Linked DNA regions of Xenopus tropicalis. The protein of the gene in region 2 purifies or fractionates together with the protein of the main gene of each other region. This does not show direct contact. Links are inferred from orthologs where the notes say so. Each region holds a gene or a part of one and is shown on either strand. Other genes may lie near its edges.

Region 1 (3,752 bases), on a different chromosome or scaffold from region 2:
GACAAGGGCTCATGGGTCGAAATTTGCATCAAGGCGCTACCACTGCATGGGACCCCCTTCCCCCATGCCATTAGATTGGCTTCCGTGGACTATGGCCACAGAGTTTCAGGTCCCCCCTCAGTACTCACCAGGGTAGTAGGCCCCAGATCAGTCACACCCGTAGCTCCCTTAGTAGCTACACCACTAGGGACAAACCAGTCTGATGTGGACCATAATGCAGGTATCCAAGTTGGACAGCTTACCATACAAGTGGATCTTGTCATCTGTGCCCCATTTTTCAGCCCAGTATGATTGGTTAGGAGCAAATTGTTCTCGAGCAAAACCAGGCAGCCTATGAGGCCCTTAACAGACCACCATTCTGCCTCCAGCTATACTACGCTGATAATATTTTGGTTAATATGTAAGAGTTATGCCAGTGAGTGCTCCAAACAAAACTATAAATGCCCTATCACTATAATCAGGGTATCCAACCAGAGACCCCCTCCCCCAGCTGCTGACAGTGTTGGAAATGCTGGAAATTTTGGATCATTAATTTCCAGAGAGACCTAATGTCTAAACATCTCTAATAGCAAAAGAGCAATAAGGCACCTGTTAATGACATAGGATCTTTAGTTCAAATGACTTCATTAAAGTACATTCCTGGAAGAGAGGAACTAGAGTAATATGTAATTAGTGCTACATTTCCTGCAACCTCTTACCTATTAAAGAAGTGTAACAATAATGATAATATGTAGACAGCCTCCAGCTATTGGCAGGGCCAGAGATAAAGATGAAGGCACCCCGGGCAATAAACCAAAGCGGGTGCACTAACATGAGGGAAGCAGACTGTGTTTATTAGGGATGTCCTGTCTGTGCCCTTAGCCTGAGATTATAGAAGCTGAACTACAACTCCCAGCATCCTGGCTTCTACCTGTTGTATTAAAACAACCTGAGGGGCCATGGGACAGACATCACTCACAGGAATTTGCTGGACACTGTGCAATAGTGATAGAGACATAATCTGCACAAGGGATGCTCCAGGCTCTCCCCTAGCCTAGCAGGGGCTGTTAGGAAGGATGCATTGGCACTCACCCGGTCCGCACACCCTGCTGTAATGGTAGGGGTTGCAGCACACACTGTTATTCTCCGAGCCCCCGGCTCCCTGGCACCCACACAAGGCTTTCAGTTGCCCGGGATGCTGCAGCTCTGGCCAGCGGAAGAGTCTGCACAAGAGCAGGTGAGGGGGGGGCCCGTGTCGGGTCACACACACACACCCTCCGGGCGCTGCACCCCGGGACTCCACGGCCTCCAGCAGGGCGCACAGGGCTTGCTCTTTCAGTCGCTTCAGGATCGCAGAAGCAGCGGCGCGGAGCTCCGGGGAGCCAGAGGGCTGCTCCGACAGACCGCAGCAAGAGACACCTCCATCCCCGCCCGCCCGGCTCCTCCACAGGCGCCGAACCAGCCCGGTGCGTCTGGACCTGAACATGCGGCGCGCCCCCGAGGGTGCGCCCGGCTCTCCGGTGCCTCAGTGCCCGGGGCCAACTAGAAGGGTCGGCATGGGGGAAGAGCGCTCTCTCCTGTGCCAGTCTCTCCGGTGCCCGCACGGATAGAGAGTCAGTCGGCTGGGCACGTATTGGGGTGTCCCCCTCCCGGGTCACATCTCGGAAGGCTGCTTCTCCAGACGGAACCCCCACGGCTGTCACATGGCGGTACTCACGGCACAGGGCATCCAGCAGGGGCACGGAGACTGGGCGCAGCGGGATGCTCCGGAGAAGGATGCTGAACGCTGGATAGAGCGGGGCTGCGGGGTATTTGCACGGCTCTAGCCCTTACACTCCCGGGGATTGCAGCCTACTGCAGCCGGGCTTGTGGCGCTCTCACACACTGCACATTGCTGCTACCGTCCCGCACAGGCTTCCTTTCTCTATCGGCTTGCACTGCGCACACTTCCTAGTAGGCTCCCCGCTCCGGTCCCCTGGGTTCCTCTCAGCTTCCCCGATAGCAGTAGGCGCTTCACTCTGTTGCTCCGGTCCCTGCACACACTGATCCCTGCTCTTTGTGCTCACCCTCTCTCACTCACTCGGGCCCACTGAAAGCATTCCCATTGGCTGTTCCCTGTCACATGGCAGTCTAGACACTTTGGCGGCTCCGCTGCACTGACTGTTGCGCAAACAAATCTCAAGTTTCTTAACTCTTAAAGGAGCCACAGTCCTTTCCCAATTCTTAAAATTGCCCTATTACCTTCACAAACGTCCCACACTTTTTACCAAATACATTTTTTTAAAGCAGTGCTTTTATTTGGTGCTGAGCAGATAATCGCTGGGTCATTTACTTATTATAACTAGATGCTTGGGGTTTCCATCATTTCACCCCAGGGCAGAGATGCTCACCTTGTGGCACACTAGCTGCTGTTGAACTACAACAATGGCTGTATGGGGTGCTGTACATTCTATTGGACCGGTACATGGAGTCTCCTGCCCTTTTACTTTCATTTCTTAATATGTATTTGTTAGCGATGGATGATACAGAACCAAAAAAACTAAATACAAAAAAGCAGATGAGAATGTATGTGGAAAACAATGAATATCAGCAAATATATAGAAAGTGAGAAATATGTTCTCCTTGCACCCTGAAGCTCAGCTCTTTGCACTTCTAGAATAGAGCAAAGTGAGTAGTGTTTTTTCACTATAGGGCTAAGACAGGAGCTACTTGTAGCAGATACAAAAATACACAATGCTGTCAATTTACTGATAATTGTCTCTGTGTATTTTAGCAAAGGCAATTCTCAGTATTGTCTATGGCAGGGTATTTTCTGGTGTTTTGTAGCTGTGACAAGTAGCTGCTACTAAGTAGCTCCAAGTGTCTAAAGGTCCCCATACACGGGCAGATTGTAGCTGCCGATATCGGTCCCTTGGACCGATTCGGCAGCTTATCTGCCCATTTAGGGGCAGAAACGAGGGGCCTGGCCGACCGATATCTGGCCTGAAATTGGCCAGATCTCGATCGGCCAGGTTAGAAAATTCAGTTGGATCAGGGACCGTATTGGCCCGTTGATGCGGTCCCCGAACCGACTGCCCCTTGCCGCCAGTATAATTCGATCGTTTGGCCCCGATATGACATCCCACCGGTGAGAATATAAATCGCTGGTGGGATGGCATACATTGCCTTAAGAGGAACCTTCCGCGATTTTAGGGAAATCGCAGCACCGCGTATGCCATCCCACCGGCTATTTACATTCTCATATCGGGGCTGTGGCACACGGGGAGATTAGTCGCCAGTGACAAATCTTCCTTGTCATGGGCAACTAATCTCCACATGTGCCACAGCCCTAAGGGCGAAGACACATGGGCAATTAGGGACTTAACTTCCATAGGCAACAATCAGCACGACTAATGGCGCAACAATTTGCGCTAATTTGTCACCATGACAAGTAGCAGCAACTAATCGCCCCATGTGTCTTCACCCTTTGGCTAATGCCACACAAAGTCTATGGCGCATGTTTTTGGCAAGCAGAAAAAACACTTGCCGAGAATACACATAAAACTCCCCCTACCTGTGCCTGCACCTGAATGAATTGAATATGCTCAGCTGCAGGCACGTCGCCAATATCTGCATAAAAACGCAAGAAACTGCAAAGTCTCATGTTTTTATGCAGATATCGGCAACAAGTTTCTGCACCCGAGCGTATTCAGTTCATTTGGGTAGAGGCACAGGTAGGAGCCTATGGAGCATATTTTCAGCAAGCGTTTTTGGCTTGCTGAAAATATGCGCCA
Region 2 (3,652 bases):
GGCCATCTAGCCTTCTTTTCAGAAATGGGTTCCTGGAAAATACTTTCAAATACTAGCAAATTCTTGAAAACCATCCAAATGTTTGCATTGGCTCATGCAAAAACAATAAATACAATATTTCCCTAATCACAGCTGTTTATTCTCAATATATCACACAGAATCAGCTTGACTCTTCCATTGTCTTCTAGAATACAGTTACAATTCCATAATAAACAGCAGAAGAAGAAAAATAAATGTATCTTGCCTTGGTATTCGGGGATCATGCCATGTGCTGACACCAGTTTGTGTGTGCAAGAAATACACCTGCCCTTGAACCGTAGTTCTTTGTTCTACAAAAAGAAGCAAATACATCAAAATATTGTTAAATATATTAAGAATTTTATGTTAAGTGTTTATGTTTAATGAACACATGAAATTATTGAGTCAAACATTTAAAATAGTTCCTTACCACATGTATTGGTTACAGCAGAAGGTTCTCTCTTCACTTTTGGGCATCTTACTAGAAACTATTTTCTACTGCTTTTTGGTGTAAAATATTTTATATACCTTTATAAATACTTGCCATACAGCAAAAATTGTTACCTGTTTTCATCTGACCAAAAACACATTTACCTCTAGGTTTAAAAGTGGTTTTAGAAGTAGACTGCAGTCACAATATTGGAGAGTAGCTAATGGTCAGTTTACAAGATGCTTTGAACACAGTATAACTAAACAAGGAACCCCATCTTGAAAATGTCCACGCACATAAGGTGCTTTTTAAATACTGAAAAGATCTACCTTACTAAATAAGGAAACAATTCCTTACCATAACCTTCAGGCAAGTCCTGTGACTGGTACCCATGGGATCGATTTAAAGGTGTCTGGACATGCTCTCTAACTTCTGGTCCACGAAGTCTCTGTGCTTGGAGTCTCTGTTCTTGACCTGGCGATTCTACTAGCCTACAGGGCCCTCCTCCAGCTGCACCTGGTCCATCAGTATAAGGGGCTGGCTCATCCATGAAACAACTAAGGGGCCTGCCAGGCCCAGCATCTTCATAAAGTGCTCTGAATATATATGAAATACAATACATTACAGGATATAGGCAAGGAAACATGCTGCAGATTGGATGGTTTAGACTGAGGCACAGTCAAAACATTCCAAGTCAAAAGCAGAAACTGGGGGAAGGGGGAGTATCCATTTAAGGCAAACTATGGAAATATTACCATATCTTAAATAATGGTTTATATCTGTCACATTTAATAGTCATTATTTTCTATTACTTTTTTGTATTTGCTTGAGTGCTTTATGCTTTAATCTCTAATATTTTTTACTGACAGACTCTAAATTAGAAATATTAAAATGCCAACATTAGTAATGTGTGAATCTGTCCAGTTTGGTTTGCAAAAAGTTTGCAAAGCTGCTGAAAAATTAGTGAAACAGCAAAGAATTCTACTATGTGAGCAATTTTTTTTGACGTGTGCAAAAAATGTCCTCATCGCTAGCTAACACCAACATCTGGTTAAAACTCAAATATTAAAAAACATTAAAAGGTTTTAGAAAAATGCCTAATGTACGTTTCACCAGAACTTTATCAAAGGCAAAAAAAATTTGCTTTGATAAAGCTCTGGCAAAACATGCGTCAGGCATTTTTCAAAAACCTTTTAATCTCTTAAACTAGACGCTGAGGTAGCAATTTAGGGTAACAGTAGGAGTCTGAGTGTGCTATGGCCTTTTAACTGGCTAATTTGCCTTTTTTTTTTTTGTTTCATTCCAAGAATCTTATCTAATCTTTATCTCTAAGGTACCCAGGGTTTGTGTGTTTTATAGGTTAAGGGCTCTGGTACACGGGGAGATTAGTCGCCCACGGCAAAACTCCCTGCTCGCGGGCGACTAATCTCCCCGAGTTGCCTTCCCTCTGCCATCCCACCGGCGAACATGTAAGTCGCCGGCGGGATGGCAGACGCGGCGGCGCGATTTCGCGCAAATCGCCGAAAAAGACTCGCGAGTCTTTTTCGGCGATTTCCCGAAATCGCGCCGCCGCGTCTGCCATCCCGCCGGCGACTTACATGTTCGCCGGTGGGATGGCAGAGGGAAGGCAACTCGGGGAGATTAGTCACCCGCAAGCAGGGAGTTTTGCCGCGGGCGACTAATCTCCCCGTGTACCAGAGCCCTAACTTAGCCTCTCCAATTGAGATATAGGAAAGGTACATTTGAGACCACAGCCCTGGGTGCCTGACTTCTCCAGCTTTGTGGTATCCCTACGGATTAGTTAGCAAAAATTGAGCGTTTTCTCTGGGATATCTCCACCCTTCCATTCATTACCTTTTCCAAGTGCTTATTAGTTTTCTAATTGAATTTTAAGGGGTTTTTTTTTTTGGTTTTTTTTTAATGGGGGGGTGTGATTAATCTCAGCACAAGTGACCTAGTTGTCAATTGAGTTGGTTACAATACCACTAGTGATTTTATAGCTACCTTTACCACGTGTCACTTTAATTATATTGGGAACATGCAATTAGTAGAATTTGGTGAAATTTGCTCACGTACATTTTATTTAGAGAAGTTAATAGTCGAATAGACTTTTATAGGGTGTTTGTTCTTGTTGTAGTTCAAGTGCATCCCTGTTAGGTATTCTGAAATCTGAATAATTTAAGTTTTCTTCCTCTATACTATTGATATAAAGACAACTTTATTTACAGCACTTGTCACTTTAATAAAATTGGGGGGCGGCATTAATGGATACTATTGCATTAGTATAACAAAAAGCACTAGCATTTTGTTTGGAAAAGTAACCTTAAGTGATCAGGAGAGGTACTTTTTTCCTTTAAGAAAAGTAAATTGGATAGACCTTGGAAGGGTTGTCTTCTCTTTCCTCTTAAGGGCTCTGGCACACAGGGAGATTAGTTGCCCGCAACAAATCTCCCTGTTCGTGGGCGACTAATCTCCCCGAAATCCCACCAGCAAAATGTAAATCGCCGGTGGGATGGCATACGGAGCGCAATTTCAGTGAAATTGCGGAAGTTGCCTTGAGAGGAAACTAATCACCCCATGTGCCAGAGCCCTAACTTGTTATAGGTCAAAAACAACCTCACAAGGTCATCTGGTTCTTAAAATTTAAATAGATAAATCTTAGTAGGTAAAAACTTTTTTCCTTATCAGGAATAAGATAAAAGACATGGTTTGCCTTTAATTTCTCCCCAAAAGGAGATATACGCTTTGTATACTGTATAGAGTTGTTGTTTAAAAGAAAATATATTTTCTTTGTTTGGAGAATCTTGCTGTTGGGTTTTGGATGCTGAAGTGTTTGGAAGGTATGGTAAAAACAAAAACACACTCCATTCCACCTACCCAGCTCATATAATTAGAAGATTGTCCTCTGAAAAGGTATTTAATTGTAATGAGCAAGTCAAAGAGCAGGAAGGCTGCCTGTTTGTGGAAAAAACAACCAGTGTGGCTAATGGTGAAGGAAAGTGTGATTAAACCAGGATATTAAGCAATTCACTGAAGAACTGTCAGTCTGAGTAAGTCAGGGGTGACTTGTTTTGCTTTTAATCCACATAGGACCCATTGTATAGAGGTAACTCAGCAAGTGCGCAGGTAGCACCTAGGGGGCAGAGATATATTTATAATTTAGGTGTTGTGTATATGCTGTTAGGAACCTGTGTGAACTGAATT
Region 3 (3,752 bases), on a different chromosome or scaffold from region 2:
AAATACTACAGAAGGCTTTTGCATCAGAAAATTACACATGCATAGGATAATCTGCACAGACTGGCTACAGAAATATAAAATACACTAAAATACTAACATCAGCAGGCAATAGTTTAATTTACATGAAAGTTGGCAATAAAATGGGAAGCTGGATGGGTCAGATTCAAATAATTCTAAAAGGTGGCCATACACGTAGCAATTCCAATCTTTCTTGCGACCATTGTTCGCACAAAAGATCGTTCCTACCGTCCAACCCTGAACGTAGATTTTGCTCGGGAGCCTTCAATAGCGCCCGATCAAAATCTTCTAACCTGGCCGATCGACGAGTTGACCGATATCTGCAGCCTTCTGCGATATCAGTTGCCTCTTCGAGACAGCAGTCATAGAAGTCTCTAGAGATGCACCTACAAAATTGCATAAAAACATGAGCTTTACATAAATTGCAAAAGTTGCAGTTTGCAAAGTTACTCAGTTTACACAGGTTTCAAAAGAAGTTTCCTAGGCATGGAATTTTGTTCCCTTTAATATACAATTAGGGTAGACTCCATCCTATTGTTTTTATTTTCATTTTGCAGAACAAAACAAAACAAAAAAAACAAAACATTTACAGATTTGTTTAGCACTTAGGTTGGGTACAATTGTTTACGTCATATCCACAGTGACACTGAGCAAAGGAAAGGTATGTAGCACTGGGTTATGGGGGTGTACCCCGGGTTATACATAGAGTTCAATCATCTGGTAGGGGTATATGAGAGTTCACACCTAACCATAGTTTCTGAAAATTCCCAGGTACACCCCGAGCATTGTGTATCAGTTTGATCAGGTGTAGTGTACTATTTATTAGTTAAACCCACTGTAGAAGAATTGGGGTCCATCTATTTCATGATCACCAACTTTTTTTTTGCATAGAACATAACAGAGCGTAGTAGTGTTCTAGATTTGTGTAAGGGCACTGTTTCATCGATTATACCCAATAAACAGGTCCTAGGAAATCTGATTCCAGGAAAGGATAAACATACATTAACGTAGCGGGTGACTTCTGTCCAGTATAGTGCTACCTCGGGGCATTCCCACATCAGGTGAAGGAATTTCCATCCTACTGTTGGCTTATAAACTATAAAAAAGGTGTAACGGAGCCTTTACATATGAATTGTCTGTACAAAGAAGGTCGTAGCTGTTAAAGGCATGTTGTTCATTTTATGCATATTTTTTTTTATATAATTAACAATGCCCAGCATTCATGACAGCACCAATCGAATTTCACATTTAAGTCTACTAGGGGTGCAGGGAACCATAAATTACAACTGATCCTAGTTTATAAGTAAATGTAATGAAACTATTGTATTCTAAACTTCTTAAATGTCTACTATTTACTATACAGAGAAGGCCCTAAATGTGACATTTCTGTTGTAATTGCCCTCTAGAACAATAGCACAGGTTATTTTGACAATTTTCCCTAACCATACATTTTAGTAGCCCAAACACACAGCACCAAACACCTGAAACAGCCCTCAGAGCTGCCATGTTTTTCAGTTAGAATTGACAGAAAAGTTACCTCTGGCTTCCAGGCTATTCTCATGGCAATAGAGACCTAAGTGTCTAAATATTATTCTTGTACTATGCTGGATGCCTACACAGGTCTGTTGGCTGTCAGTTTGTGGGTGCTAGAATGTGTGGCTTAAAACAACCATGAGGAGATGCTCACAAATGCAAATATAAAGAAACATAGATATACAGGCACCAACACACACACATATATATAGATACATACATACACACACACACACACACACACACACACACTTATATAAGAGACAAACACACACACACACACACACAAACACATATATACATACACATACGTATATAAGAGACAAACACACACACGCAGACATATACACGTATAAATGTACGCTACAATAAGACACAAACGCCTGAAAATAAAAACAGAACCACAACATAGGATAGTACCTATCCTCCCCCATCAAAAAACCCCAACACACCCCACTATTTCAAAGGAAAACAACAGTGTAGAAACTAGTGCTCTCATGAGGTCTATTAGGTAAATAAGCCGCGACTCACCCGCTTCGGCACCCTGCCTTCTCCCCCAACTCCAGCCCGAGGACTGGGACCCCGACCGATCACCTCAACGAGTTCACCCACTCTTTCTTGTACAGAGAACTTTATTACACTCCCCTCAAAGCAGCGGCTGAAAGCTGCACTGACTGCGCGGCACCAGCGTCAACAAATACTCTGCGTCGGAAGTACAGGCAGAACGTGGGCCTCCTTCTCCGCCATATTTGTCTCGGGCAAAAGTACCTTTGATCTACGTCATTTCTTACGTGTGGTAAAGGTTGCTTAGTTACCGTGTGTTATAAGCGAGTTTGTTGCGCTAAATAATATTGTAATTATTTATAGTATTTAAGGCAGCTGTGCCCTTGTTTTACAATTGTTGCAAAAGGCTTGTAGGGCAGTACTGAAGGAACAATACTTACCAATGAATTGACAGCTCTTGGCTGGCGTGAGTTCGTAATAGGGATGCCACCTTTGCCCTCAATAAAAAATGTACAAGATGATGATGATGACATTGGAGGGCAGAGCGGTGACAAGAGGGCTGTGGGGCCATGATATTTGGGGGCGTTTGTGCCTTTGTAGGGGCAGGGCCTTAACCTTGGTTAAGGTGGTTATTGGCAGCAGGGCCGCTATCAGGAAGTAGGGCCCCCCATGAACATGAAAGTGCAAAGTACAACATTTTTTGACCACGCCCCCTTTAGTGTGCACTATAACCAGCTCACTACCTTGAGATTACAGGATTTTTTTTTTCAAACCGAGGGAACTCCCCAAATCCTAGGCTGAACCCTCTGTCTTTATTCTGTGTGTATTTCACTTCCCATAAAGTCTCTTATGTTCTGGCACTTCCCACTGATTGGCAGATCTGTTCCTATTTGCCCGTCCGCATTGACGCGGTGATTGGCCAATAGGCGAATGCTGCATCATAACCCCACCCCGTGACATCACTGCCCCAACTCTTCCCTGCCCCATGACATCATAGCCCCACCTCTTCCCGCCCCCTGCCTGGTGAGGAAAGCTGGCAGAGGTGGCAACCCAACCCCCCTGGCTTGTACAATAAGTGCGGGACGGCCAGGCCCCCCTAAGATCCTAAAAATCCACGGGGCCCAGGACAGTTTCCCCCCTGTCCCCCCCTGATGGCGGCCCTGTTGGCTAGATTATTGCAGCACTATCAACCCCAGATGCTCCTCTGTAGGGGAGATCCTGTGGTGCACATAAATTGTTGACGATACATGCCCTTCTGAATGTGCATATGCTTTCTATGACATCACCGAATGCTTACTGCGCATGTGCTCCCGGAATTTTAAGAAAAACTTTGTTAGAATGTGCAAAAATCAGGGAAATGCCATTGGGTGCTGGGAGACCAGGGAAGAGAAGCCAAAATGGGGTAACTTGAAAAAATAGTAGAGTTGACAGCTCTGTTATTGTTTGGGTTTCACACGGTTAAAACCTAAACAGCCAGTTGTGATCCAAACAGCCCTAAGAAAACCTGAACTGTTCAGGTCAAAACCAAACAGGTGGCAACCCTAAAGTAACACAAAGGGACCCATTCATTAAAGCAAGATGACCACGATTAGAAAAAATTTGTATTTAGAACTTTTCTTACTGTTAATGATAATATTGTTAAAAAAAGGATGACTTTTTTGTGATACATTCGTTATTCCACCAAAAAGTCGTACTTT

Evidence for each region. The genes of interacting proteins can lie anywhere in the genome.
Region 1: the proteins of smurf1 (region 2) and smad6 purify together in Homo sapiens (affinity purification with western blotting; 4 studies listed by BioGRID). This does not show direct contact. The link is inferred for Xenopus tropicalis from reciprocal best matches to the Homo sapiens genes SMURF1 and SMAD6.
Region 3: the proteins of smurf1 (region 2) and stk38 purify together in Homo sapiens (affinity purification with western blotting; 3 studies listed by BioGRID, with this or other methods). This does not show direct contact. The link is inferred for Xenopus tropicalis from reciprocal best matches to the Homo sapiens genes SMURF1 and STK38.

Annotation. Positions count from the first base shown.
Region 1 is NC_030679.2:117,261,579-117,265,330, reverse strand, and holds the start of smad6 (mothers against decapentaplegic homolog 6), read right to left. Parts: upstream 2,134-3,752; 5' UTR 1,466-2,133; coding exon 1,072-1,465; intron 1-1,071. UniProt on the Homo sapiens protein: Transforming growth factor-beta superfamily receptors signaling occurs through the Smad family of intracellular mediators. SMAD6 is an inhibitory Smad (i-Smad) that negatively regulates signaling downstream of type I transforming growth factor-beta.
Region 2 is NC_030685.2:47,073,052-47,076,703, forward strand, and holds part of smurf1 (E3 ubiquitin-protein ligase SMURF1), read right to left. Parts: intron 1,045-3,652; coding exon 806-1,044; intron 330-805; coding exon 245-329; intron 1-244. UniProt on the Homo sapiens protein: E3 ubiquitin-protein ligase that acts as a negative regulator of BMP signaling pathway. Mediates ubiquitination and degradation of SMAD1 and SMAD5, 2 receptor-regulated SMADs specific for the BMP pathway.
Region 3 is NC_030678.2:53,265,672-53,269,423, reverse strand, and holds the start of stk38 (serine/threonine-protein kinase 38), read right to left. Parts: upstream 2,597-3,752; 5' UTR 2,589-2,596; coding exon 2,496-2,588; intron 2,286-2,495; exon of another isoform or gene 2,083-2,285; intron 405-2,082; exon of another isoform or gene 312-404; intron 1-311. UniProt on the Homo sapiens protein: Serine/threonine-protein kinase that acts as a negative regulator of MAP3K1/2 signaling. Converts MAP3K2 from its phosphorylated form to its non-phosphorylated form and inhibits autophosphorylation of MAP3K2.